Linked DNA regions of Callithrix jacchus. The protein of the gene in region 4 interacts with the protein of the main gene of each other region in a pairwise test. Links are inferred from orthologs where the notes say so. Each region holds a gene or a part of one and is shown on either strand. Other genes may lie near its edges.

Region 1 (3,591 bases), on a different chromosome or scaffold from region 4:
TCACAATGAACTCACAATTCATTACAAAAGTGGAAGATGTTCTTTGCAGTTTCCTGAATTGTACAACCTAAAATTTGTTTTGTGAATTGATGAAATCTACCTGCTTTACAATAGTGTGATTTTTATGCTAATACCCGACCATCAGTAAAATTTTTGAGTTTTCTTTTTTTTCTAAATGTAGCTTGACTGGGAATAGAGTTTGGCAACTGGTATGCCAACAAAAAAAGCTTAACGGCTAATAACTTGGAAAATGTCTCATTCAAAAAGGTACTTCAATAACATTTATAACAGTATAAACAAACATTAAAACTAGTTTAAGGGTAAAATAATCTTTCAATGCTTAAAGAAAGAAATTTCACACTGGGCAATATAAAAAGGGATGGTCTTCTCAGCCAAAAGCTACACTGTTTTTATTTTTAAATTTATGTCCAGGATTATGTACATAACCACCTAACACGAGGTAAAAACAGAAAACAAAGCAAAGAAATATAACTACAACGAATGAGAAAGGAAAGAGGGTTACTATAAAATTTGGGCTAATGTAAGAAAAACATCAGTGCTCTGAGAAAGGCTACATAATTTTTCATAAACATAAATGACATACATAAAAAGCATAACATCTCATGACTTCAAACCAAAGAATGAATTATTATGTAATTTCACTATTAGAACCATGCAGAAGCAGCTGCAAGTTATTTTTTTAACATTTTTCATTATGTCAGCTTTAAAGGTTTACACATTCTTTTGTAATTACCCAGTAGCTAATAAACTGAAAGACACACAACAGCAAAAACAGAAAATCATGGAGTCTTATATACTTATTTTTCCACACACACAAAAAAAGCCCTTGCTTTTGTCAAATTCAAAGTATAACTAAGTTCTCTCTCTCAACTTTCTATATTCACAAAAGATTTTCTGTTCTGAAATGCCAATTCACACCAGATCAGCTAAGACAATTACTCTATTCACTATACTGTGAGTTGCCCCCAACTATGAACTTCTGGAAGATAAGAATTATGTTTTAATTATTCATCTTTGCATCCTTATGAACTAGTTCAGTGTCTGGCTCTAGAAGTCACTAAATAACTCTGTAAAATCAATTCAGGAAAATAACTTGGTTGTCTTAGATTTATAAGAAAAAGCTGCAAATGTGTAGCTATTTAAGGTTTACCATTAGAATTTTTCTTACAACAATACTAATTTCAATCCCCATTAGTATTTTGGTTTTTTTAAAGAGTAATACTAACAAAAGCAGAAAACTTCAACTGTACAAACAAAGATAATACATTTTATGCTAGAGAGGAAAGAAAAATCTAGTATAATACCTCTTCTGCTAGATAGGAAAGAAAAATCTAACAGTCAATATTCTATAACTGATTACTATTTGGTTTAAAAATCATTGCAATTTTGCAGTAAACTTGGCATTTTATTTAACTTTTCTCAAGGTTAATGCAGATATACCTGGCTTGTCTCTAAAACTTTGTACATAGAACAAATTTCCATAAAAGCTCATTAATTTAAAAAATGTTGTCAATTAAAAAGAACCATAAGACAAAGACACCCATAACCATCCTACTTTTATCTTGTATGTCACTCCTAAGTTTCATATACTGAATTTGCTTAAAGCAAGGTGTAAATGTATTAAAAATTAAGTCCACTAACCATCAAGGTGTCAGAAGATGTAACAAAAGTTATTGAATGCCAGAAGTAAAAGCCAGCTGATTCAAGTCTGTTACTATAGGTACTCAGAGATGAATATGATTCATATATGTATCCATAATAAGGTCTTATTCTTTTAAAAAGAAATGATTTTAGTGTTCTAATGCATAATAAATTTGATACAGGTCAAACTACACTGTCTGGGACCATAAACAAGTATAAAGATGATCAAGCATCAGTAATAACCCCTATGAGCGCTTTCACATGCCAAGAGCTACAGTAAATAAATGTATTTTCCTTAATCATCACAGCCGTCACTTGAAATAGTATTATGCTCTCATTTAAATGAGAAAACTGAGGCCCAAAGAAGTATACGTTCTGCTCCTGGTTACAGAGAAAATCTTAGAACTGGGATTTGAATCTAAGTATGGCTAAATAACTTCAAAACTGTTTACTGTTCCATGCCTGACCACTATTATGCCATCCTGATTTCATAGTACAAGACCTTAAATCTGTCTATAATTCTGTTAATATTCCTGTTTTTGCTAAATGGATAACACATTTGATATTCCTCTTGATTTAACTGATATATACACTTACTTCCTACAGAATGACCTTTTAGATTGGAATATCAAATATTATGTTTAAACTACTTTCTTAAATCACAAAAGTTTACAAAATATTCCATTTATATCTCATTTTTAAAGTATTAGTAGACCTATTTTTAAATGACATGTTTACTGAAAATTAAAGTTTAGAAATTATATCCTAATTAAGCTCTCAGTTAATTCTTACAGTTAAAATTCTGAAAGACCATTTTTTTACCTATCTTCATGAGATGGCTTGGGGGGTGGGAGGGCTTTTGTAATTTGTCTTATAAAAATCATGCATAACAAACATTACCAAATTATTTAAAAAGACTAATAAAATTTGTGATTATTAAGCAACCAACAGTCAAGACATAATTCTTATCAGGCTTCAATGAACGATGTTCTTACCTTTTTATCTTTTTCTAAAATGGTCTGGTCTCTCTGCTGTAAGAGACGCTTAAGTGACATCACTTCTTCTTTCAGTTGACTTATAAGGACAAAATTGTCTGTTCCCCCACTATCTGCTGACTGATTTATAGAGCTACTAAAAAGAAAAAAGTAAAACACAGTTAAATGAAGGAGAAGGAAAATTAGCAGGTGTTCAAATTGCATAAATTAGACAATTCCACAAACATCCTTAAGGCTAATGCAAAAAAATATGTACCTGACAGAAATGGATGCAACTGGCAAATTACCTTACTAATGGCACACATTACATACACCTGCAGAAATATAATTCAGTATTAGCTTTTAGGGGGTCAATACTTCTAGTGTAAAGCAATAGGCAGCCAATTTGTACAGTAACATCAGCAAACTTTTGGCTAATGAACTAAAACAAAGTCACGCTCATATTTTTAATCTAAAAACATTTTCTAAGCAGGTCAATTTAAAATATCACAATTAGATTTGTGTTTCATTGAAGAATAAAGATAAAAATAATGTTCTCCATTCAGATTTGATTTTTTTTTCAAAACCCAAATTTATTTCCCAAATAGAACAACATAGTTCAGTGCCACTTTCTTATTGCCAAAATTAAGTTAAAAATTTTAAACTGATTTATGTTTACTCTTCTAGGTGACTCAAGTCAATGTAGAAAATACCTGTTTCTAGTTTTTTATCTAGTAATAACTGGCAATCAACCATAACTATGCAACTAAACTGAATTTTCACAACACTAAAATAATTCATTTTTACCTATCTCCATTAGATGGCTTAGATTCCAATTTGGGCTTTTTCTTTGGAGTTTCATTCTGAATTGCTGCAGAGGATTTATGGCTGAAACCAAACAATAAGAATAGTTAGAGTAAAAAGGACAGAGGAACCAAATGATAAGTTATTCATC
Region 2 (3,789 bases), on a different chromosome or scaffold from region 4:
CGTCCCCCTGCTCCGGAGGGCCTGGCATCCTCTGGCGAGCAGTCAGACCTGTCTGTGGGGTGGAGGGGTCAAGGGGTCAGGTGGCGACGGACGGAGGCAGTGGCAGGCTCCTGGCCCTGGCTGAGCCCCGTGCGCCCTTCCTCACAGCGGTCAGCAGTTTGCCCAGCAGATGCAGCAGCAGAACCCGGAGCTGATAGAGCAGCTCAGGAGCCAGATCCGGAGTCGGACGCCCAGCGCCAGCAACGACGAACAGCAGGAGTGACGCCGGTGAGTGCAGGGCCCAGGATGGGGAGCGGCCAGCAGGAGTGACACCGAGGGAGTGCCCCGAGGGGAGGGCAGCCAGCAGGAGTGCTGCCCGGGGACTGTAGAGCCCCCCTGGGCACTCGACAGTGAGTCCTGAGCACGTCCGGCTCAGAAGCTTGCCCTGAACCGCTGAGGCAGGTGGGGGCATCTCTGGGCATTGGACTCCTTTCCAGGTGGCCGCCACCTCCTTCTCCCCCGTCCTGTTTCCCATCTGTGGATCGGGGCTGGGTGGAGATGAGGGGGAAGCCACGGCTTCCTGGGAGGGCTGGTGTCTAGGGGTCTGGGCCCCCCACTGGAAGGGCTGGTGTCTGGCGTCCCCCCCGCGGAAGCTTTTTGTTTCTGCAGCGTCAGAGCTGCCACCTGGGGGATGGAACCAGGTTTTTGGGTGGTGGAAAGGACAATCCGGGCACCTGCCTTTGACTGCACGTCTGAGCGTTCTGCCTACGTTTTTTGAGCCACCGCGCCCGGCCCTTGTGAGGGATATTTTTGTCCCTTTCTCACTGTGAGCAGCCATTGCGCTTAGCGTTGTTTAAAAATGGCCAGGCACAGTGGCTCACGCCTGTAATCCCAGCACTTTGGGAGGCCGAGGCGGGTGGATCACGAGGTCAAGAGATCGAGACCATCCTGGTCAACATGGTGAAACCCCGTCTCTGCTAAAAATACAAAAAATTAGCTGGGCACGGTGGCGCGTGCCTGTAATCCCAGCTACTCGGGAGGCTGAGGCAGGAGAATTGCCTGAACCCAGGAGGCTGAGGTTGCGGTGAGCCGAGATCGCGCCATTGCACTCCAGCCTGGGTAACAAGAGCAAAACTTCGTCTCAAAAAAAAAAAAAAATGCACTTGGAGTCCCCCGTGGGTTCCAGGGGCCCGTGGCTGGCTTGGTTTCCATCCCGGGGTTCCGTGTCCGTCCTGTCCGTCCGCAGCAGATGCCGACTCCTGGGCCGAGTAGCTCCAGGCCTCCCGAGGTGTGTCCATTCTGCTCCAACGTGGCCTCTTCATCCCGTCACCGTTGCTGGGGGCGTCCCTTGTGTACACATTCTCATTTTTTAACCAGAATTACTGTAGATAAATTTAAAGGACAAACGTGAAAAAGCAGCAAGAACAACCTTAATCTTTTTTGTTACTTTGAGACTATCCTGCTCTGTCACCGCGACTGGAGGGCAGTGGTACGATCACGTCTCACTGCAGCCTCAACCTCCTGGGCTCAAGTGGTCCTCCCACCTCAGCCTCCCTGTAGCTGGAACTACAGGGACACAGCACTGCACCCGGCTGAGTTTTGTCTTTACTGTACAGGCGGGATCTCACTACACTGCCCAGGCTGGTGGTCTCAACTCCTGGGCTCAAGCCATCCTCCCACCCCAGCCTCCCAAAGTGCCGGGATGACAAGTGTGAGCCCCGTGTTCAGCCCAACCTCAGTCTTTTCACCCAGGGCAACTGACGTTCATATTGCGGCCACCTTTTCTTCCAGTCTTTTCTTGTTTAAAATAAGTTTTCATTTATTTATTTTTTTAATAGTCGAGGTGGATTTTTCACCAACATAACCTCATACCCAAAGTCCCGCCACACTGCAGACCCTTCTAGATCACGGCGGCGTTCTCTGCGCCACCGGGCACACGTGGCCCTGAGTGTCCGGAATGCTGCCGGCGTGGCTGTGGCTCTGACGTCCGTTGAGAGAGCTGGCGTGGTCCCTGGCTGAGGGCCTCTCCTCCTGCCTAGAGTGTGTGGTGCGGCCGGGGTCTCCACCTGTGCTCTGACCGCCGTCACATCTGTCCCCCTCCAGCCATTCCTCGTGTGACCGCGTCCTTCCCTGGCTGACTGGAAGCTTCCGGGTGTTTGCTGTCTCCTGTTGGACTGCCTGAGAGAGGGGAAGAGAGAGACCTCGGACCTGCATGTCAAGATGGATTTTCCCTTTGATCTCTGCCTCCTCCACTCCCTTTTTGTAACTCCCTTGTAGCCCCCAGACCTTTCTTGAAACAAGAGCCAGCAAGCTGAGCACAGCCCAGCAGCGACCTCCCTCCCAGGCCCCAGACAGCCCATCACTTGAGTATTTTCTAGAATCCTGGGGTGCTCCCGGCCCCTCAGTGAAGCGGCAGCTTCCACGTTCAGCCGCGTGGCGGATCCTGTGGCTTCCGGAGCCTTTTTACAGCCCCCGCCCCCTCCCGTGCTGAGAAGCTGCTCCCGGCCTCCCGGGCCCCGTGCCTGCTCGGAAGAGCTCACTGCCAGCTGCGGCCCGGACGCTGCGCCGCGTGTCTGCATGAGGACCTCTTCCCTGGCAGACATCCAGGGGGCAGCTGCAGTCACCCCACGCCTCCGCGGCCAGGAGCCGTCCTGGGTGCATAGGACCAGTTTCTGTGACTTTCTCCAGTCCTGCGTGTCGGGAGACATGCGTTCCCCGCCACCCACCCTCATTTTCCGGTCCTCGAGACTGAGAGCCACGAGTGTCATCATGACTGGTCCGGCTGCCTTAGCCGCGGGCACGGGGAAGGCAGCTGGGCCATTTCTGTCTGTGTCCCATCCTGCTGTCCTTCCGTCCTGGGTGTTTCATAGGCCCAGGGCCCGCCGGAAAGCTCACCCCTCCAGTTCCAGGTTGAGGCCATGGAGCACCTCTGGTGCCACTCACCTTGGCCCTAAAACAGCCACCAGGAGAGCAGCCGAGAGCTAGACATTGGGGGGCCTGCCTCAGCTCCTGGGGCCTGGGGGTGGCAGGTGAGCCCACGGCGCTGTGGTCCCAGCAGCAGGGCTGGCAGTCGGAGCATCCTGGGAATCCCTGGGTCTTGGCCGTCTGCGAGGTAGGCGCAATACCATGTGTCGTAGGTAACAGTAGGAACGGGGCCCCCAGGGCCCTGCAGCCCCTCATGGCGGTGAGGTGTGTGCCGAGCCCATCTGGGTGCAGGGCGTGATGTGTAGGGAATAAATAGGCGTTGTGACCTCTGTCCGTCTCCATGTTGACCTTGGTGCCACCTATCCCCCACAACCCCAGACTTCGAGAAAACCCCTGAAGCGGACTTTGCAAATCAGCTGGGCTGGTTGTGAGTGAATCCCCTCGATGCCTGGAGCCGCACTTCCTGGGTCACCGGTCCCAGGAGGTTCCAGACTGCCATCCTCTACTCTCCCCTCGGCCTCGCCCCCAGCTGCATCACGGTGCAGAGGGTCCCTCCTGGCTCAGGTGAGATGCGTCGGCCCTCAGCAGAGAGTGACCCTGTTGCTGGTTGCTTTTGCAGCATGTCACAACTCCAGAAATTCTGTATTCTGTAACCAAAGTCACCTCCCTTTTACAGCGGTTCTCCCAGGCAGGAAGGAGCCCAGAAAGCTAGCCTGTCTCGGCCCCAACCCGAGGCCGCTGCACAGGGTTTTTGTGGACGGAGAAAGTGCTCCCTGGGCTGGGTGCAGTGGCTCAGGCCTGTAATCCCAGCTCTTTGGGAGGCTGAGGCGGGCAGACCACTTGAGGTCAGCAGTTCGAGACTGGCCTGACCAACATGATGAAACC
Region 3 (3,569 bases), about 34 Mb from region 4:
ACCACTTCTGCCCACACCTTCTGGCACACTTCCTCTTCTGCACACCACCCTTGTGCTGTGTTCCTGTTCCTGTGGCAGCCATACCCTCTCCAAAGACGTCCTTACATAGAGGAACTACTTCTAAATTCTTAAATTTCTTTGTTTACTTTCCCTCTGTCAAAAAATTGCCAAAGCAACCTCAGTCTACAGGGAGTAGCTGCTTTCTGCATTTGCTACTTCAACAGTCTTCAGAATCCTTTTATGCCTTTTATCAGTTGATCATCTTTCCCAGTTAACAATTGTTGTTACTAAATTATCCCCATTCATATTATAGGGAAGTGGTTTATTTCTCCTGACTGGACCCTGACTGATATATAAAGACTTAAACAAAAAGAGATCAAGAGAAGGAAAGGACAGAGAGACAAGGAGAATAAAGCCTGGTAAGTTCTAAAGTAGGTTCACAGCTCTACCATAAGCTTGTTGGCTTCTCTTCTACACAGGATACACCAGCAGTCCACCAGCATACAAAAAAATTATTTTCTCACTTGCAGTTATTACTGGGGAGTGGGAATGGTAGTGGGAACTGAGATGACCACATTAACTCCAGGAAATCGCCACGTACATGATGATGCAGCACAATGATCATCTGGCAAAAATACTGCCAAAGCAACCACAGTGAACTGGCACCAGTGTAAAATGTGATGCTTACAGTTTTTGTGAGATGGAGTTTTGCTCTGACTGTCCTGGCTGGAGTGCAATGGCGTGATCTCGGCTCACTGAAACCTCCACCTCCCAGGTTCAAGCGATTCTCCTGTCTCAGCCTCCCGAGTAGCTGGGATTACAAGTGCATGCCTCCATATCTGGCTAATTTTTGTATTTTTAGTAGAGACGGGGTTTCATCATATTGGTCAGGCTGGTCTTGAACTCCTGACCTCAGGTGATCCACCTGCCTTGACCTCCCAAAGTGCTGGGATTATAGGTGTAAGCCATTGTGCCTGGCCTGCTTAGTTTTAATACAGTCAAGCCTCATAACAGAAACTTTCTGTTGTACCTTTTACCTATGTTATCTAAATAAAAACAAATATGCTGAATAATCAAATAACACTGGCATCCTTTAATTCTAACAAGAATATTAGAATTACATAGATATATTTACCTAATAAAGCTCTTAAAAGCAGCAGACTGAGGGTTGATGCAGAGAGGCACTCTGTTTCCTTTCTGCTGTTCCAAAATGAACTGGTGAATAATTTCTGTGGAGAAAGCAAGCATCATACAATCCATGACAATTTGCAGGCCCAGGAGCAGTGAATTCTCAGCTGACTCTAGCCAGCATCTGAATAGCATTTCCTACTGGTTTAGTTAAATCAAAAAACACATCATCTATCAAGCAGAATTCAGCTGAACTTCCTAAAACGAAAACGACAGCTGTTGCTAAATGTAGGCAAAAAACCCACTGGTGGCATTACAGACTGCAGCCCCATCAGTAGGAAGAGTAAAATGGTCTATAAATTTGAGAGAGACTCCAAGGTCTGGCATTATAGATGAACTCTTCTAAGTTGCTGCCTTTTGGAAAATCAGTTGGTATCTAGGTGTACAGTTTCAGGTGGTTACTTGGGGACTCCCCTCTCTTGTAAAATGTCCTAGAGTAGACACTAAAATCACTCAGAATTTTGGATGTCATTACCCCCACTGTATCCTAATAGGAGACCCTGCAACAAAATTTTATGAGTACACTATCAGAAATTCCCTTCTCTTGTCATCAGCCAAGGAATGATTCCCTCAGTGAATTTTTATATTTAATGGAACTTTGTATGTTATATAAAGAAGATCAATACGTTTCAATCAATGAAATGACATTGAGTGAATACATATAAAATGTATTGAGTCATACTCACTAAATAAACTGAAATAAGAACAAACTATTCATTCCTCTCCCTAACCTTCCCCTGTGTTTAATATTAAATATGAATTGTTATGCCCTGGACACATAGCTATATACAGGGTTGTAAAATAAACATACAGGGGAGCTTTGGTTACCAACCACATCTCAGCTCTTCATGGCCACCTGATGGAAAATGTTACTTGGCATCTTGCCTGGCCCAAGGCCAAACCAGATACTCACCTTTAACCTGTCGGACAGAACTGAGGTTCTTCTCAAAAGTGTCATCAAATTTGGGATTGGTGACAGGCTCAAAGTCACTGGTATAAACTCTTCCAGTAGAGGTGGAAAAGCAACATTTACACATACATGTGTGATATCGTAGTCGCCCTTCATCTAGGTAGGGGTGGGCTAAGGCATCCTTAGCGGATATTCTTTTGGACTGAAATCAAATTAGAGACCAGCACATCAACACTACAGATAAATATGACTGTCCACATAGGATCTTTCAAAAGACATATTAACTGCTTTACACGGCTTATATATAATTTATAGTACATTCCATCCAAAGAGGGATAACTGAATTTAGAGGTGGGTAACATAGCAGCATAGGGAGTGTATAATTTAGGACAACTACTGTTACCATCTACCATCATAAAGCACTTAGAAGTGCCTTTCTGTTGAAATTCTGAGAAGTTCCTACCCTGAAACAGATGTATGCAGGGTCAAAAATCACAAATACCACGACATTTAACTATGTAGTGCTTCGAATGGGATTACATTTATATTTTAAATAACAGGCTGTATTTTCTAAATATGTGTCAGTATCTAGAAGATATGTTCATAGTGGCAGTCTTACAAAGCTTCTTGACATTTTTATTCTCTTAGAATACCAAACAGACTAAGGCAAAAGCTGCTGGAGTTAGGCAGCAGATAGCGGTCTGACTGCCATGTTTTGAGATACAGCTCAGTCTGAATATCAGGAGTCTAGCATTTTATTTTCTGGTACTTTATTTTTTTTAATTTTTTTTGTAGAGATGGGTTCTCCCTATGTTCTTGAATTTCTGGCCCTCAGCCTTGGCCTCCCAAAGTGCTGGGACTGCAGGTATGAGCTACCGTGCCCAATCATTTTCTGTCACTTTAGATCAGAATACTTAATATATTAGTTTTAAGTTACCTGAAAATCTAAACTTTTAAACTTATTACTCCATTAAAAAATTAATGTGCCTTCTTTTAGCTCAGTAGGCTAATGTGTACTACTGAGACAAAGTAAATTTTAAAGGATTTAAGGATGAACTCAATAGTACAGAGTAGAACAAAAATGAGAACTAACACTTTGCTCTGATTCCAATATGACCAAGCACTTCACATTACACAATTTAAAGAAGAAACCCACTTTCATTTTCAAATAAACCAAAAACAACGGAATCATCCTAATTGTTCTGGTCCCCAAATAATAAAAAAATGTTTTCCATAAACCTGGATTCCCTACAAACACTTTTATCTCTGATTTTTGCTATGCTGATCTAAAAGGGCATGTCATGACCTTTCATGATAGGATAATCTCAGAAGAAAGCGGGTGTTTTATTTACCATGAACCGGCAAATGTATACTTGATAACCTTGGCTTGTTTTCCTTTCAATGAGTTCATGTTTTTTATTTGGTGACCTAGCTCTTCTGAAGTCTGAATCCCCTGCACTCTTAGCAAGTA
Region 4 (4,281 bases):
CTGTCCAGGCAGGCAAAAAGCTGCAGGGGCTAAGTCGGCTGACTACAGCGCCCTGTGTGTGACACACGCCTCAGCGCGTGCGGACCTGTGAGCATGAATGCTGACATGTGTATACCTGTGCGTCTGAATCCCCAACGCATGGTCTAACAGCTGGGCCTCGCTGGGCAGGCTTACAAGTCAGGAAGATGTGATTTTTGGGGGTCTGATCTGTGCAGATGTGGGATATCTCTGAGGTGAGGGGAAGGCATCAGTAGCCATGGGAGAGGACAGGGCTGGAGGGCAGAGAGGGAGTCCCCCCCCAAAAAACCAGGGTTCCCCTCCAGATGCCTCCTTGCCTGACATCATGTTCATACCTGTACCCCAGTAAGGCTTGCGGGAAGCAGCCACATGAGGACATGAGAAACCACAGGGGTGAGAAGGTTGTGAAAAAGGAAGTATGGTGGCTAGCAGAGTCTGGGCTGCCCTCCCCAGAGGCCAGTCACCACCTGCCATTAATGTCCCCTCCTCGCCAAGGGAAAGGGACACAGGCTGAGTCAGCCTTTGAGACACCTGTGTTCTGAGGGTCCCCCACACCTCTAGGGCCCTCTGAGATTCCCCAAGCATGCTAATCCCCATCCCTGCCTCTCCCTCTATTCTGGAAGTGAAACTCAGCCACATGTGGAGAGAGACCACGTGTGACCACTGGGCTGCCCATCTGAGTCACCAGGAGGAACTGAGCCTTGAGTCTCTGTGGGGAGCAGCCTCTCACTTCCTAAACAACTCTTCTCCCAGGCTCAGCTAGCCCAGCTAGCTCAGGGGGGTGGCCAGAGAGGTTACACAGCCTGAAGGAGTGAAAACAGTCTTGTAACTGGCTTCTAAGCCAGTTACAAGACACTTCATATTTTATTTCTGTGCAACCACCATCCAAAGTAGTAATTAACATCTTTACTTTTATTTTAGAGATGAGGTATTGCTATGTTACCCAGGCTGGACTCAAACTCTTGGGATCAAGCAATCCTCCCACCTCAGCCTCCCAAGTAGCTGCGACTTCAGGTGCGTGCCACCACACCTGCTCATTTTTTTTTTGAGACGAAGTTTTGCTCTGTCGCCCATGCTGGAGTGCAATGGCATGATCTCGGCTCACTGCAACCTCTGCCTCCTGGGTTCAAGTGATTCTCCTGCCTCAGCCTCCTGAGTAGCTAGGACTATAGGCACATGACACCATATCCAGCTAATTTTTGTATTTTTAGTAGAGATGTGGTTTCACCATGTTAGCCAGGATGGTCCTGATCTCTTGACCCGGTGATCTGCCTGCCTCAACCTCCCAAAGTGCTGGGATTACAGGCATGAGCCACCGCATCCAGCTACCACACCGTTTTATATAAGGGACTTGAGCATCTGCAGATTTTGGGGTCCTGAACCCAGTTCCATGAAGGGACACCTATAACACGTCACACATCAGGTCATTGTGACAACAGGCTTTGATGGGCCCAGAACATATTGGACCTGGGTTCATATTACTAGCGGCACGATGGACAGTGCCTGGAAATGGACCCTAAGCCCCAGGGGGATAGATGCATCAGGTAGGACAAAAACGGTACAGGGACTGCCTGGAAATCGCACTTGGGTCCTAATCCTAGAATTGCCAACTGTGATGGCCTGAGAAGTTGCTCCCTGTCTGTGCCTCAGTTCCCCCAGGAGTCTCTGTGTGGACACCACTGTGGGGGAGTGGCAGGAAATCTCCCCACCCAGTCACTCACACCCTCTGCTCCACCTGGCTTTCCTCAAGTGCCCCTCCCCTAAGTCAACATCCCCAAGAGGCCACCTCCTGGCCAGATAAGGGTGAAGTTGACTGGTACTGGACAGTGGACCCTCTCCTCAGCCTCACAGCTCCTGGGCAAAGCACCTGCAGCTGGCACCACATGCTTCCTGGGTGTTCTCAGCAGGCTGTCTGCTGCCCTGGCTTGCTGGGAAGGGGAGCCTGTCTGCACAGGACTGTTCGGCTCCCTGGTGAGTTACCTGTGCATGTGCCCCCTCCTGTTTACACTGAGTTGAAGGAGTATACTGTACGTTTCTACTCAATACATGCACGGGCATACAGAAGCAGGGATGAGGAGGAGAGCCAAACACACCCTCTCATCGCCACCCTACACCACCAAAACAGCCAGAAAGGACAGCAGCCTCTTCAAGCCCTAGCTCTGTTATCTTCCACTAGGTGGCACTCCCCGACTCCGAGTGCCAAGCGGAGAGGAAATTCCCAAAAGGGGAGCCAACCTCGCTGCAAATGAGCAGGAAAAGGTGGCTGGGAGAGGCGGAAGTTAGCTCGTCCCACCCCCTACAAGAGGAAGTAAGGAGGAGCCAGACCAGGTTCTGTCACCACTCCCAAGTCCCTACTACCTTCGAGAAGCCAAAGTCTCAGGTCCGATTCCCAGGCCCTTGGAGCTCCCAGCCCAGGGTCGCGCGCCCCTCTGGCTCCAGGCTGCCGCGGGGACCACCCAGCACCACCGCGAGAGGGGAAGACGCCGGCACCTACCGATAGCGGTAGATCTGGCGCAAGAATGGCGTGGTCCCTGCTTTGGGGGAAAGGACTTCAGCTTCCCGGAATGCTGGGGAGGGAGAGCCCCCTTCTAACGGGGGTCACTGCAATTACTGCTTCCTCTCCCCCATATAACTCCTTCCAGTGTATAGGAACGCCCAAAGGAGTTTCAATAAGCGGGTATTCTGTCGTCTCCGGCTGATACTCCAGGGTAACCCCAAGCGCACATGGCCCTGGCCAGGCCCCTGGGTAGGAGAGGTCTGCGCGGCCGCCCTCCTACCTGCGTTCGGGTCCGCGGTCCCTGGGTAGCAGCAGCCAGTCAAGCAGCTCACGGACTACAAACCCCAGCGCGATGACCCGCCCACCTCAGTTTCCATTGGCCAGAGGTCCGGGATACGACGCTTCCATTGGCTACTTATCGACGTAGAGGCGGGGCCAGCCTGGGATGCTGTGTTTTTTTTCTACTCAAATCACTCACCTCCCGGCTTCCTTTCGCCCCACACCCCATTTCTAGGGATCATGTGATTGGGGAATCATGTGACGCCGGGCCAGCCTCAACAGGGCAGCCGGTGCTCTCCTTGCTGCCTTCCCACACCCATCCTGCAGGCGCCTGGGGGAGTTTGCTAGAGATGATAGCGTGTGTGGGGCATTGGGAATATTTGTGCTCTCCTTTTTATTTTTCTTTTCTTTTTTTTTTTTTTAATTTCCCCTTTCTATTTTTTAGAGTGATGGTTGCCCTAGCTGATCATAGCTTACTACAGCCTGCAACTCCTGATCCCAAAGCGATCTTCCCACTGCAGCCCCTCAAGGCGCTGGGATTACAGGCGTGAGCTACCGGGCTGGCTCCTTCGCTCCCATTCTATCCTGCCCTGCCCTGCCCTGTCCCGTCCTGCCCTATTCTGCAAACTCGGATGACATGCTAGGCAGGCCCCAGACGGAGTTGAAGGATGGATTTGAAGACAAAGATAAGCAGCCCCAAGCCCTTTCCTCAAGGAGTCAGCGGGGCGGGAGCGGGGGGCAGGGGTTGGTAGGAGACAGGCTCAAGCTGGATCTTATTTATTTATTTTTGAGACGGAGTTTCGCTCTTGTTACCCAGGCTGGAGTACAATGGCGCGATCTTGGCTCACCGCAACCTCTGCCTCCTGGGTTCAGGCAATTCTCCTGCCTTGGCCTCCTGAGTAGCTGGGATTACAGGCACTCACCACCGTGCCCAGCTAATTTTTTGTATTTTTAGTAGAGACGGGGTTTCACTATGTTGACCAGGATGGTCTCGATCTCTTGACCTTGTGATCTACCCGCCTCGGCCTCCCAAAGTGCTGGGATTACAGGCGTGAGCCACAGCGCCTGGCATTGGATCTAATTTAAGATAAAAGATTGTGCGCAGGTGCCAGGTGTACGGAGTAGATTGGCTTCAAGTGGGGAAAAAGCGGTTTTGTTGTTGTTTTCTTTCTTTCTTTTTTGAGACAGAGTCTAGCTCTGTAGCCCAGGCTGGAGTGCAGTGGCGCGATCTCTGCTAACTGCAACCTCCGCTTCCCGGCAAGCTATTCTCCTGCCTCAGGCTCCCAAGTAGCTGGGATTACAGGCGCCTGGCACCACGCCCAGCTTGCTTGCTTGATTGATTGATATTTAGTAGAGACAAGGGTTTCACTGTGTTGGCCATGCTGGACTCGAACTTCTGACCTCATGATCCACCAGCCTCGGCCTCCCAAAGTGCTGGGATTACAAGCGTGAGCCACCGCGCCGGGCCGGGAGAAGAGAGATTTAAT
Region 5 (3,591 bases), about 12 Mb from region 4:
CCCATGACCACTTCTCTGGCTGGGTCACCCAACTGCCTACTTGCCAGGTCTGGCTCAGATGGGGTGAAGCCAAGGACTCCCCAGGAAGGCTGGGTGCAGCAAGGGACCAGGAGAAATGAGGGAGCCCAGTGCTCCACCGCCGCTCCCTGGGGATCCCATGACCCTACTAACACCACACTGAAAGTGGCCCCTTGGGATGCACCCAGACATTCCTCGTGCTCCCATGTGCTTTATTGGAAAGCTGTCAAGTCTGTGCCTTCCACATGGGCCCTCACACAGCCAGGCGAGGCCCCAGCGCCCACAGGTCCTGGGACACCTGCCCACACCTGCAGAAGGGAAAGGCCCTCACCCTCTGTGGAGGTGTCTTGGCCACCACATCCCGTTCCGAAGGTGGCCCCAACCCCTCCCAACACTGACAGCACTTTCCATTAGAAGGGACTGTCACCCTGCCCCCAAGCAAGGCACCTTCCCAGGGGGTGGGGGGATAGAGTTTGGGTTCCAGGATGGAATGCACCCCTCCTCAGAGCACTCAGCCCACCAGGATCCAAGCAGCCCTTGGGGAAAATCGCAAGGCCACCCAAGTCTCAGCTCAGGAAAGACATTCCAAGACCTCATGCTCCGCTCTCCAAGACTGACTTCCTGTGACCTCTGTGTTGGCCACTTTGCCCTGAGGCCTCTCAGCACCCCAAGCCTCTGACCCCAGGTCCAACTATAGCAGGTGGCTGCTTTGGTGACCAAGTCTGTGGCAGCCAAAGGCACAGGCCCTCCAGGTTGGCTACCAAGGGGGTTGGTGCCCACAGGGAGGAGCGGGTGCCAGGAGGGCTCCCTGAAATCTAGGACCCATCCTGTTCTGCAGGTGGCCGACTCCCTGAGGTGGGACGTGCGCAGGGCTAAAGGGCCAGGCTGCTCCAGGAGCGCTGCGGATGGCGGCTGGAAAGTGGGGTGATCAGGGAGCATGGCTGAGGCCATAGTGAGGAGCATGGCGGCAGGGGAGAGCACCTCACACACTGCACGAGCTTCCAGCACATGCACAGCTGGCCAAGACAGAGGGTCACACACAGCAGATGAGAGAGACTGAGTCACATGCAGCGGCATGTCATCCAGTACTTGGGGAAGGTCAGCATGGGGTGGGCACCAGGCTGCAGGGCAGCCCCATCCAACAGGTTCAAGCCAGCCAGGCTCCAGGCAGCCAACCAGACTCAAATGACAGAGAAGCCAGAGGGGGGTGTCAGAGGGACATGAGCACAGCTGCATGCTGGGGGCTGACGAGAAGCTGGACCTTCTCCAGACCCAGGCACTGCACACAGGTGACTCTAGCTCAGCCCCTCCTACTGTCGCACCCCACTGCACCGGGGCTGAGGGCCCACCCGGCCCCCCGCACTCCTTTGTCTTAACAGGGCATTCCAGAATAGTCAAGTTTCAGCACTGAGAACAGCTCAGGCATGGCCGTTGGGAGGTGTGTCCAGTGAATGTGGCGGCTGGACGAGGCCGATGCAGGGAAGCCACTCGGGGTAACGACATGGGCCCAGGCAGGCGTGGACACAGGAGCAAGGGTGGTCAGTGGCAGTGTGAGCGCCAGTGTCTCCTTCAGCATTGCCGTCTTTACCACTGCAGTCACTTTCTTCAAAGAAAGAACTAGAGCAAACCCAGAGTTAAACATCTCCACGAGACTCGGCTCCTTTCATCGCTGACAGCATGGCACGTGACTGGTCCCTGACCCTGGAGAAAATGTGTCAAACCAGCCACCGGAACACAGTTGTGAGGGTCCGTGCCGCAGCCCACCTCCCAGTAAGCCACACCGGGCCCCTGCTGGAGTCCAAGAATGCCCAAGGAGTGTGGGATGGGACAGCCCCCCGCAGGGGATGGAGAGCAAGCCGTCCCACGCACCGAGACCCCACGGTGGACAGGTGGCACGAACCCGTCTCCCCAGAGTCCTGCCTCCCAAGATGCTGTCCTCACACTGCGGTCACTGCTTCTTGGGTCAAAGGGAAGGAGAACGAGGGCAGAGTGCAAACACGAAGTCACCCAGAGCGCTGGGGACGGGGCTGCGGTGGCCCTACCAGTTCTGGTTGTCCCAGCCATCGTCGGCAGGCACAGCCGGCGGCACCGCCTTCTTGGCGCCCTCCCCACCCTCCCCACCATCACTGTTGCTGTTCCTGTTGGTGGAGGCTGAGCCCCACACCTCCCAGCTGTCGGAGCTCCTCCTCTCCGTGGAGGTGTCCGCGCAGGTCCAGCTGTCGCTGCTCGGGGACTTCCGGGCCTTGGCAGACTCAGTGCTCCCGAAGGTCTCCCAGAAGCTCTGGTCTATGGAGCTGTTCTGGAAGTGGTCTGGACCGCTGTTCTGGTAACTGTGGCCCTCAGAGGGGCTTTTAAAGAGACAGAAGGGGGACTGTGAATGTCACTCAGCCCACCACTCAGAATTCCGTGCCCCCAACAGCTCTGCACCTACAGTGACCACCAGGCCCTGTGGCGCCTTCCCAGGCCAGCATTCGGGGTCCACAGCAGCCCTGCCAGGCAGGAGCTGGTTCTCCCATTTTAGAGCAGAGGAAACTGTGCCAGGGACCTGGAGAACCAGGGCCCACTCTTTTACAGAAAATTTCTTTTTCTACCAGCTCTAACCTGCTATGTCATCAGTGGTTTAGTTAAGGGGGGAGGGGGAGGGGCACTGGCCTCGTGGGGACTCAGGCTCTCCCGAGAGATGCCCCCGCCGCATGTCGGCTCTGGACCAGGCCCTGCCCTCTGCCCTCAGTTGTAGTCATACCACTGAAACCCTATACACACACAGAGAGGGAAAGGACGTAGCAACTGTAGGGAAAGTTTGGGCCCATCTGGGGGCAGAGCATACGTGTTCACAAGGGCTGGCGTCTCAGTGGACAGCACAGGGCCAGGCCCTATGAGAGCCCTGTGGTTCCTGTTGGGGTCAGGGACTGAGAAGAGCAGCCAGCTTCTAGCAGGAATGCCTGGGGCACCCAGTGCCAAGGGCAGAGCTGGACACGGGGCCCAGGACAGGTCTTGGGGGTCCCAGCCCGGGGCCCAGGACAGGTCTTGGGGGTCCCAGCCCTACTGTCCCCTGGTCCCCTATCTGCTCCACCCACCCAGAGTCTGGGAGACAGAGGAATGGCAGAGCAGCGCCGACTCCTCCTCTGATCAGTGAGTAAGACTCTCCCTCCCACCCCAGCCTGAGGTGCCCAGCTCCTGCTCCAAAAAGCACACAGCCAGGGCAGGGACAGGTGAGACAGGCCCCCGAAGCGGCAGAGCACTAGAAGAGCTTTCCACGATGCCCCCCGCCCCCACACTGCCCAGCAAGGAAGCCGACCACCATCAAGAGAGGGGGTGGGACACAGGCTCGGGGGATGGGGACATGGTGTACCTGTCCAAGGGGCCTTCTGCTTTCCCTGAAAAAAAGGTGGTGACATCCCGCCATCCCTTACTGCTGACTCCCTGGACCTGGAAGGAGATGGGAAGAGAGGTTAGGAAGGCCCCATCACGGCAGAGGCACGCAAGCCAGTGCACACCGACTGGCTGAGAAGGCCCAGGTAAAATCCAGAAGCAAGGGGTGCCTGGTGCACTCATACAGACAGAGACGCATAC
Region 6 (4,214 bases), on a different chromosome or scaffold from region 4:
TCAGCGGGCTCCCCTTTCCTTCTCCTCCTTCTCGCCCAGCGCCCGGTCTGCTCTCGGCGCCCGACCCCGCGGCCCGGGCTGCGCGGGTGCTCCCCACTGCGATGCGCCTGGAGGCTCCTTGACTCGCCTTCACACTTACTCCTTTGCAAACTTTTTACTACTCCTGTCGGGGTGAGGGAGTAGGAGATTAGAAACAAGGGGTAGAAATTCCTCGAAAGGTAATAAAGTGCCTAATTTTCAGGAGGAGGTGCCATTTAAAAGATTCGCCTTACTCGGAGTTGGGACGAAAACACTTTTTTTGCACTTTGAAAAGTCCACCCAGGTAGACGCGTTTGGGAAGTTTGTTCGGCTAGGAAATGGGCTTCACATATACGAACAATCCGGGGAAATCGCCTCAAGGAGGCTCCTTACGCAGCATGTGGAAAAAAAGTTGAGGGCAGGGGTCTGTGGCCACATTTTTCATCTAAAAGTCCCTGTTAGAGGGAGACTAGGAAAGACAGAGTGTGAAAAAGAAAGTTTCCTAGCAAAATGTTTGAATTAAGAAATAGGGTGTGTGTGTGAGGGGAAGAGGACGCTGGGTTCCAATGTTTCAGAAGAAGCGCTTAAGACTTGTAAACACCCTTGGTGGGGACTGGGAACCCCGGGAGAGGCCGACGAGCAGGTAAGTGGCGGCGCCCTTCCAGTGGGTGCTCTTCTCAGGCGCGGGAGTCCCGAGGCGCCGAAGAGAGATCTGCGCGCCCGGAGCTGCTCCCGCGCTCTGCAAAGTAGCCTGTGCTGGCACGAGCCGCCCGCGGCGTCGGTCTCAGGTGGCGGCGCAGAGGAAGGAAACGTTGGGGCCCGCGGCGCCGGGAGAGGGGCAGACGCCCGGGCTCTTCTAGTCCGCCGCCCCCGAGTCCTGGCGCCCACATCCGGGCGGCAGAGCCTGGTAGTGCCTCGGAGAGCGAAGGAACCGGTTCTCCAGCACCTCGCGCTCTCCGAGCCACTCCCTCCAGAGCGCCTAAAGCGCGAGAGAAGGGCCGGGGGGCCCAGGGCAGGCTTGGGGACCCGCGGTCCCCTCAGCGGCCAGGACTCCGGCTCTCCGCTCGCCTTCCTCGGCTAGCTCTGCGCCGCTTTTGCCAGCCGAGTTAGCGCGCGACCGGGGCGGGGCGGGCGGGCGGGCGGGGAAGGCGGGGAGTGGGGGGCGGGGGAGGGCGGGGGCGCGCGGAGGTAACCCCCGGCTCGCGCTGCCATTGCCCGGCTCCCTGTCACTCAGCCCGCGCGGGGCCCCCGATTGGCGGCCTAGCCCCGTTACGCACTCGCCTCGCGTTCACATACCCGGGGAGGGCAGTAGAAAGGTGATCAATCTTCATCAGGCTACATTTCCAATCACCTAAACAACCGAGCAAGACAAGCCACTCCGACAAGGTAAATCGCTTGATTTATTTAGTTTGCAAAGTGACTGTGCAGGACTTCCCAGTCCCCACTGCCTCCACGTTGTATCGGGAGTGCCGCGGCAACGCCGAGCCACCTCCCAACTCTGCCACTCGAATTACCCCCCTTGCGGCCCCTCGGCGCGATTCCCGGTCAGGCAATGTCCTGAGAACGCGTGGGGCTTAGCAAACAAAGTGTCTGTGCAATAAAGTGAAACCCTTAGGGACACGCACAAAGCCACTGGAAAAAAAGATAGACGTGGGAGGAAAGAAGTTGAGAAAAGAAAGAAACCGGGGGTCCTAGACCAGCCGCCGGGGTAATTCCTGTGCCGCTCTGTTTTGCAGGTTGGCTGCCCGGCGGGTCTCTGTGAGGGATCCAGGTAGATGGTGAACGGCCCCGGCAGCTGAGGGCAGGTAAGGAGAAAGCCGCGGGGCCACCCGGGACTCCGGGAGCGCGTTGGTTACCCTTACCTCCCCCTCCTCAAATGGATCCTCGCTTCCCGGAGCCCCAGCAGGTGGGCGGGGCTGGGGGAGCGGCCTGACTCCCCTCTGGGTGCGCGGAGGACCCCGGGGCGCTGTCGCGGCCCGCCGCCCCCTCCCCCGCCTCCTCCGAAGTAACCGAGCTGAAGTGCTAAGTTTGGAGAAAGTCTTTGAAAACTCAGGCTGCAGCCTCGCAGAGCCGTCGCAGCTTTGAGTCCCATTTTCCTTTGGCCTAAGAGCCCTGGCTGCTTCCCTTCTCGTTCCCTCCCTACAAGCTGGACTCCTCCTCTGGCCTTGGGTCCGAGAGGACGGGGGCAGGAACGGGGCTGGGGGGAGCTTCTTTAACTCCAACTTCTCTCCCTAAACGTCCTAACCCGAGTCCCTGGCCTGCTTCACAGCGATCCCGCAAAGCGGGGTGTAGCGACGGCCCCCTAGAACCCCAGGCCCACTTTCCAGTGCCCCTCCCTGACCCTTGAGAGTGGCGCCTGGGTTCTCGGCAGCAGCGGGGGCAAGGCTTCGACCTCCCAGCTCGGGTCTGCGTGGGCTCTGCCGCTGAGGCCTAGTTCTCTGTTCTCAACAGTGTCCTGGGGCCTCGGGTTCAGCTACTAGGATGGCAGCATGCAACTTGCTGCCCTCTGGCTTCGCAAATCTCAGAGACCCTTTAAGGTGCTGGGCCCCAGCCTTCACCCCCTGCTGGGACCATGTGGTCAGAAGCCCAGACTGGGCAGAGAGAAGGACGGGTGCGCGCTGGCAACGAAGGGCGATGGCCGCAGCTGAGGCGCTCCTGACCTCAGGCCGCGTCTTGGGATCGCCCCCTCTACAGTGTTCCCTTCAGCGTCCTCTGGCCCTCTGCGGCCTGGGCCCGTTGCTGCGGTTGAAGTGTGGTGTGATTCCGCGTCAGCGATTTTTCAGTGGTTGGGCATAGAGAAGTTAGCTGGAATGGTTATTGTGGGCTCTGGGGCAGGGACGCAGCCCTGGACGCGTTAGAAGAAACCAAGTGTCTAGGTGCATAAGAGGTTGAGGTGCAGTTAGTCCTCCACATTGCCTCACCTTGGCCCTTCATAGTCTCTACCTTTTCAAAAACACTGAAACAAAACGAAACAACCCTGCATGCTCTGGGCGCCCTGCCCCGGGCACCAAGTGAACTTTTGTTTGTGCAACATGAAGCCGGCTTCTGCCGGACTCAGAATTTTGCCTGGACTTGGGAGGTTGTACATTCTGTGTTTCCAGCTCTACCTCCCAGCCTGGCCCTGCTTTTAACTTCTTACTCTATGGACTCCCTACCAGTATCTTTGGCCCATTCCGAGCCTAGAGCTAGAGGACCTAGAAAACTTTACTTTTCAAAGCAACTGTGGTTTCTGGGCTAAGTCCTTGTGGAGGCTAGTTGACCACCCTGCGGAGTTCTGTAACCTGCCTTCCCTGTCTATCCCCGGACAAGACTTGAAAGCCAAGTGCCTCCGACTGATGGTTTCCGTGTGTATCGTGTCTCCATAGGCCAGGCCCCCAGACGCATCAGAGCCTGAAGGACTGCGCAGTGGGAGCCCTGCACCGCTCCTGGCCCCGGGCCCCCTGGATCTGTCGGGGCGCCTCCACCCAGCTGTTAGCATGATGTCTTACCTCAAACAACCCCCATACGGCATGAATGGGCTGGGCCTGGCCGGGCCTGCCATGGACCTTCTGCACCCCTCCGTGGGCTATCCGGGTGAGCACCGGCCTTCCGGCCCCTGCCCAAGACTCTCAAATGTTGGGGACCCTCAGACTGTTGGGTTTGAGTGTAAGCTTTGTTGCCGAGCAGGCCCAGGGAGCCGATTGCCTAATCTGTTTACAGTACAGGGCCCACTGTCGGCGCACTGAGCAGACTCGTGGGCGCATGAGGTGGCCAGGGCTGAGAAAACGCCCAACGTGCGCCTTCCCGGCCGGGTCACCGACAACCTTTCTCCTGTTGTGGTCCCATCGCCAGCGCAGAGCGCATTTACCCGCGGATTTGCTAGTAAGGGGCGGCTGATGATTTTCCTTTTCTCCCAACATGGAATGAGTAATCTGGACACTCGTTAGGCCCTGACCGAAGGAGCCAAACTTTCCTTATGTGAAACGGCAGGTGGACTGAAAAAGGAAGATTCTTTCTCTCGAATTAAATTGTCCTCTAAATCAATGTCCTGCACCCATTTTTGCACTGCTGTAGAGGACGACTTGAGTCAAACCCCGGTTTCTTTTTTAGCTCCCACTCGTTTACACCATTTATTTTCTCTGAAAGTGTTTTTCATCTTTCCTACATGAAAGGTGCCTACATCTTTCTCACTCCCTGTCCCCCAGCCAGTGTGTGTG
Region 7 (4,207 bases), on a different chromosome or scaffold from region 4:
CCTGGCCCAGCAGGCACTCAGTGCTCAGAGGCTACGATTAGCAATCAGTTGCTGGTGCTGGGGCCAGGTGGGAGCTCAGGAGCCCACGGCAGCCTGCAGCTGCAGGAGAGTAGACAGGTGCAGGCAACAGGGCCGAGGGCTGGCTTCGAGTGCAGAGACCGAGGCCCCAGGCTGTGGAGTCAGAGCACCATGGTTTTAATCTTGGTTTATACCTTCCTAGCTGTGTGACCCTGGTCAAGTTACTCCACTGCCCTCTGCCTCAGTTTTCCACTTGTAAGATGGAGACTGTGCTCATATATAACTCAAATAGCTTTAGCTGCTTAAAACTTTCAGATTAGTATGCTTCGGAGAGCATCAGTGACAAGGAGAAAGCTGGGCGGGGGCAGTCAGTGGTGCAGCCACCCAGTCTCTGGGACCCTGGCTGTCCTCTGCCCACGTGGCTCCCCATACTCCTTTCACCTCTACCCAAATCTCCTGGGTGCATGTCGAGACTGTCAGGGGCCTGGTCCTCTCAGGAGTGGGACAAAGCTGGACCATCGAGTCAGATCTGGGGGACACTGGGGAAGCCCAGGCTGCAGAGGAAGGGTGGAAGGAGCGTACCTTGCCTGCTGTGGCCCCAAAGAACCCTGGAAGAGGGGCCGGTGGAAGGAACCCCAGGTGTGGGGTCAGAGGACCTGGGCCCCAGCCTCTCAGGGTGACCTTAGCAGGTATCTCTTCCTCCCTGGCCTCTGCCCCGTGCTCAGTGGGTCCTCAGCTCACAGGCCAGTCCACCTGGGCTGGGACCCCAAGGCACCTGGCATGGGGTGGCCAAATGAAGGGGAAGGGATGTGACCACTGAAGAAACACTCAGATTCCCTCAATCTGGAGCTGGTCTCAGCCAGAGACTGCCTAGAACCTTTGGGGTTTCTGGAGACACCCTCAGACTCTTGAGGGCCTAAAGAACCCCCAGCACTCCTTACTCTTCAAACTCCCTTCCCCACCCGCTAGGCTGGGGCCTCCTGGACCAGGTGCTGGGCTGGGTTCCTCGCTGCTGGATGTCCAGCGTGCACACACTGCCTGGCACATGGTGGGCATCATGTTAATATCAGCCTAATGCATGGATAAGTAAAGGAACCTCATATAGTCCTTATACTCCCAGCAGGGGGTGTGTGGCTGCAGGGATGAGAGCACAGCATGGGACCCTGTTGCCTTCCGGGCTGCAAATTGGGGCAGGGATGCCTGCGGTGACTGACCTCTGCATGCTTGATCTCTGTGCTGCCCCCCCCCTGCCCCCCGCGCCCCCCGGCCGTCCCTAGCCCTGTCTCCCTCAGGACACTGCCTGCCCAGGGGTGCGGCCGGGCCATGAAAGGCAGGGAAGTTACAGTGACCTTGTACCTTCCCATTCCTCACCCATGATCCCACTCCTGACATCTCCCAGAGACATCCTGAGCCACTTACCTGAACGCTCACAGAAACTCCCAAGCAGAAGCCCTTAGAGTCCAGAGGATGGGGGAAGGGCGTTGTGCTCCTTGCTCAACACCCCCAGGACAAGGTCCCCTCTATTCCCGATAAGCTACTAGGGGTAACAGGTGTGGTGGTGATCCATGGGTTTGGCCTCAGCCTACAGGGCCTGAACCAAGGCCAAAGCCACCCCGACTCCCAGCCACACCCCCTGATCCCACTGTGGGGTGAATGGACCAAGGTTGGGGAAGGGCTTAGCCCAATCGCTGTCTAAAATGCTGCCCAGAGGTCTGTTGGAAAGTTGGTGGTGGTGCTTGGGGTGGAGGAAGGGGGTTCCAAAGACCAACCTGCCCATCCCCCAATCTCTGTGCAAGACTCTGCATCCCCTCCTCACAGACAGAAGGGGCCGGGGCCTGCCCTGTGACCCCAAGCAAGGGCAGGACCCTCCACCTCCCTGGGTATCATCTGGGGGAGAGTGCAGGGTGGCAGGTCAGACACAGAAAGGCCCAGGGGTAACCGGGAACATTAGCTGAGCTCTGGCCCTTCGGTCCCCAGACCAAGAATGGGGGTGGGGAGGAGGATTAGGGATAAAGGTTGGGGCAGGGGAACCTTCTAGATAACCTGTGCCCCACCATTAACCCTTTCCTGCCAACAGGGCTCCGGGGCTCTGCAGATGGGGGTACCCGGTAAGGTGTGGGGAGGGGTGGAGGGGGTTAGCTGGTAAGGCCTGTGTCTTGGGGAGGGGTGGGAGAAGAAGGGTCTGCTAGTTCTCCGGGTGCCCCACAGTTCCTCCAGTAAGCCAGGAAGAACCGGAGCCTCCCTCCCCTCCCAGGCACCCGGCAGGGGGTGTGTGGCTGTAGGGCTGAGAGCGCGGCGCGGGACCCTGCTTCGTGTCACCTGCAGGGCTGCGAACCGAACCCGGGTCACCGATGCGGTGACCTCTGCACGCGCGCTGTATTGCCCCCGCCTCCTACGGTCTCCAGCCCTGTCCCCCTCAGGACGCCGTGTCCCCGAGGGTGCGGCCGGGCCGCGAAGGGCGGGTCGCCAGCTCCATCCCCCAGGTCTCCGAGCGGCGAGAGGACCGCGCGGGTCCCTGGCACCCGATCCCCCACCACCGGCCGGGCCCCCTCACCTCGCGACACGCAGGAGCCCATCACGGGGCCGCGTGGCCGGGCCGCTGTCCCCGGGGTGCGTGGGGCCGCGGGGCGCTCATGTCTCCGCGGGCCCGGGGCTAAGCGCTGCGCAGCCAGAGGACGCGCGGGGAGGGGGCTCGGGCGCCCTCGGCTCGGCCTCCGCTCCCGCCCGGGTTGTCCCCGCGGCCGCCGCGCCGGGCTCGCCTCGCGCCGCCGCCTCCCGCCCCGCGCCTGCCGCCGCCAGGGAAGGGCGAAACCGCGGGGCGCGGCGGGCGGGGCCAGGGGAAGCGCAGCCGGGAGACCTGGGCACACCTGTGGCCGCGGAGTGCGGGAGGACCACCTCTGTCCCTTCGGGTCTCCGGCACCTCCCTGAAGGGCTGAAGGTCAGGGAAGGAGACGGAGGGGGCGGGGAGACTCCTGACATTTGGGGCACAAAGTAAACAAGATGAATTTAACCGCAACAGCGACAACTGGGCACGAGGGCTTGGGGGTTGGGGAGGGGTGCGCACAAGAACAACAGTTCCATTAGGCCCATTTTGCAGAGGGCGAAAGTGAGGCTTGCAGAAGTTAGAGGCCCTGCCTGTGAGCCCTAAGCTATGAATTTAGCGACTTTTGACTGTCAACACCTCATTCAGAGCTGTTGAAATTAACATATGCAAAATAATACATGCCCAAAGTTGGGGTAGAGAGTGGGGATGGTGCGCTGGTGGCCTGGGATCTCCAACGCGATGGTTGAAGATGGGGGCAAGGCTGCCTCTCAGGGCTTGTCTAGGGCAGAGTAAACTGAGGCACGGGTTTTTTCCCCAGCACTGGACGACCTCTGTAGTCATTCACATTGACACACACGTACCTATACACACACTCTCCCATGTGTACATCCCCCTCATTCACACACTGGTGGTCATACACACACACACATATACACACACACTTGCATTATATACACAAACACACACACGTGAATACACACACACTCTCCCGCGTGTACATACCCCCACTGACACCCACACAATGACAGAGTTATCCACTCACATTTATGTATGCTTGCATTTACACACACACACATCCCAGTTCCTGAGGTCTGAAGATCCTTTAGCAAAACTTCCCAGTGCCAGTGTCTGAGACCCTCACTCACACATGGTATCTCACTCCTTCACGCTCACCTGTGCACCAGGCAGGACAGCCACTCTTGTGTCTGTTTTCCAGGTGAGGCAGCCAGGTTCACTGGTTTTGGCAGAGAGGGGTTTTGAAGAATGAATAAGGAGGGGCCAGCGTGGTGGCTCATGCCTGTAATCCCAGCACTTTGGGAGCCTGAGGCAGGTGGATCACTTGAGGTCAGGAGTTCAAGACCAGCCTGGCCAACATGGTGAAACCCCGTCTCTACCAAAAATATAAACAATTAGCTGAGCGTGGTGGTGCATGCCTGTAATCCCAGGTCCTTGGGAGGTCTATGCAGGAGAATCACTTGAACTTGGGAGGCGGAGGTTGCAGTGAGCCGAAACTATGCCACTGCTTTCCAGCGTGGGTGACAGAGCAAGACTCTGTCTCAAAATAATAATAATAATAATGATAATAATGAATAAGGGTTGAGGCAGCAGCATGGGGTGGGGATGGAGGCCTTTTGAGGGGCAGGA

Evidence for each region.
Region 1: the proteins of GRN (region 4) and FAM76B interact in binary tests that used the Homo sapiens proteins (3 or more experiments, as listed by UniProt). The link is inferred for Callithrix jacchus from reciprocal best matches to the Homo sapiens genes GRN and FAM76B.
Region 2: the proteins of GRN (region 4) and SGTA interact in binary tests that used the Homo sapiens proteins (3 or more experiments, as listed by UniProt). The two-hybrid records come from large-scale screens. The link is inferred for Callithrix jacchus from reciprocal best matches to the Homo sapiens genes GRN and SGTA.
Region 3: the proteins of GRN (region 4) and NLK interact in binary tests that used the Homo sapiens proteins (3 or more experiments, as listed by UniProt). The two-hybrid records come from large-scale screens. The link is inferred for Callithrix jacchus from reciprocal best matches to the Homo sapiens genes GRN and NLK.
Region 5: the proteins of GRN (region 4) and ARFGAP1 interact in binary tests that used the Homo sapiens proteins (3 or more experiments, as listed by UniProt). The two-hybrid records come from large-scale screens. The link is inferred for Callithrix jacchus from reciprocal best matches to the Homo sapiens genes GRN and ARFGAP1.
Region 6: the proteins of GRN (region 4) and OTX1 interact in binary tests that used the Homo sapiens proteins (3 or more experiments, as listed by UniProt). The two-hybrid records come from large-scale screens. The link is inferred for Callithrix jacchus from reciprocal best matches to the Homo sapiens genes GRN and OTX1.
Region 7: the proteins of GRN (region 4) and FAM131C interact in binary tests that used the Homo sapiens proteins (3 or more experiments, as listed by UniProt). The link is inferred for Callithrix jacchus from reciprocal best matches to the Homo sapiens genes GRN and FAM131C.

Annotation. Positions count from the first base shown.
Region 1 is NC_133511.1:44,463,826-44,467,416, reverse strand, and holds part of FAM76B (protein FAM76B), read right to left. Parts: intron 3,525-3,591; coding exon 3,444-3,524; intron 2,794-3,443; coding exon 2,658-2,793; intron 1-2,657. UniProt on the Homo sapiens protein: Negatively regulates the NF-kappa-B-mediated inflammatory pathway by preventing the translocation of HNRNPA2B1 from the nucleus to the cytoplasm.
Region 2 is NC_133523.1:2,600,016-2,603,804, reverse strand, and holds the end of SGTA (small glutamine-rich tetratricopeptide repeat-containing protein alpha), read left to right. Parts: intron 1-147; coding exon 148-262; 3' UTR 263-267; intron 268-946; exon of another isoform or gene 947-1,348; coding exon of another isoform or gene 1,349-1,361; intron 1,362-1,851; coding exon of another isoform or gene 1,852-2,750; 3' UTR 2,751-3,233; downstream 3,234-3,789. Other genes in the region: uncharacterized protein LOC118150284, read right to left, coding at 1,349-1,361, 1,852-2,750. UniProt on the Homo sapiens protein: Co-chaperone that binds misfolded and hydrophobic patches-containing client proteins in the cytosol. Mediates their targeting to the endoplasmic reticulum but also regulates their sorting to the proteasome when targeting fails.
Region 3 is NC_133506.1:105,342,396-105,345,964, forward strand, and holds part of NLK (serine/threonine-protein kinase NLK), read right to left. Parts: intron 2,301-3,569; coding exon 2,102-2,300; intron 1,230-2,101; coding exon 1,136-1,229; intron 1-1,135. UniProt on the Homo sapiens protein: Serine/threonine-protein kinase that regulates a number of transcription factors with key roles in cell fate determination. Positive effector of the non-canonical Wnt signaling pathway, acting downstream of WNT5A, MAP3K7/TAK1 and HIPK2.
Region 4 is NC_133506.1:71,185,928-71,190,208, reverse strand, and holds the start of GRN (progranulin), read right to left. Parts: upstream 2,829-4,281; 5' UTR 2,796-2,828; intron 2,553-2,795; 5' UTR 2,513-2,552; intron 1-2,512. UniProt on the Homo sapiens protein: Secreted protein that acts as a key regulator of lysosomal function and as a growth factor involved in inflammation, wound healing and cell proliferation. Regulates protein trafficking to lysosomes, and also the activity of lysosomal enzymes.
Region 5 is NC_133506.1:58,775,897-58,779,487, reverse strand, and holds the end of ARFGAP1 (ADP-ribosylation factor GTPase-activating protein 1), read right to left. Parts: intron 3,448-3,591; coding exon 3,371-3,447; intron 2,367-3,370; coding exon 2,057-2,366; 3' UTR 214-2,056; downstream 1-213. UniProt on the Homo sapiens protein: GTPase-activating protein (GAP) for the ADP ribosylation factor 1 (ARF1). Involved in membrane trafficking and /or vesicle transport.
Region 6 is NC_133515.1:51,066,305-51,070,518, reverse strand, and holds the start of OTX1 (homeobox protein OTX1), read left to right. Parts: upstream 1-1,336; 5' UTR 1,337-1,404; intron 1,405-1,754; 5' UTR 1,755-1,823; intron 1,824-3,383; 5' UTR 3,384-3,494; coding exon 3,495-3,591; intron 3,592-4,214. UniProt on the Homo sapiens protein: Probably plays a role in the development of the brain and the sense organs. Can bind to the BCD target sequence (BTS): 5'-TCTAATCCC-3'.
Region 7 is NC_133508.1:53,398,282-53,402,488, forward strand, and holds the start of FAM131C (protein FAM131C), read right to left. Parts: upstream 2,834-4,207; 5' UTR 2,595-2,833; coding exon 2,573-2,594; intron 2,450-2,572; exon of another isoform or gene 1,438-2,449; intron 1-1,437.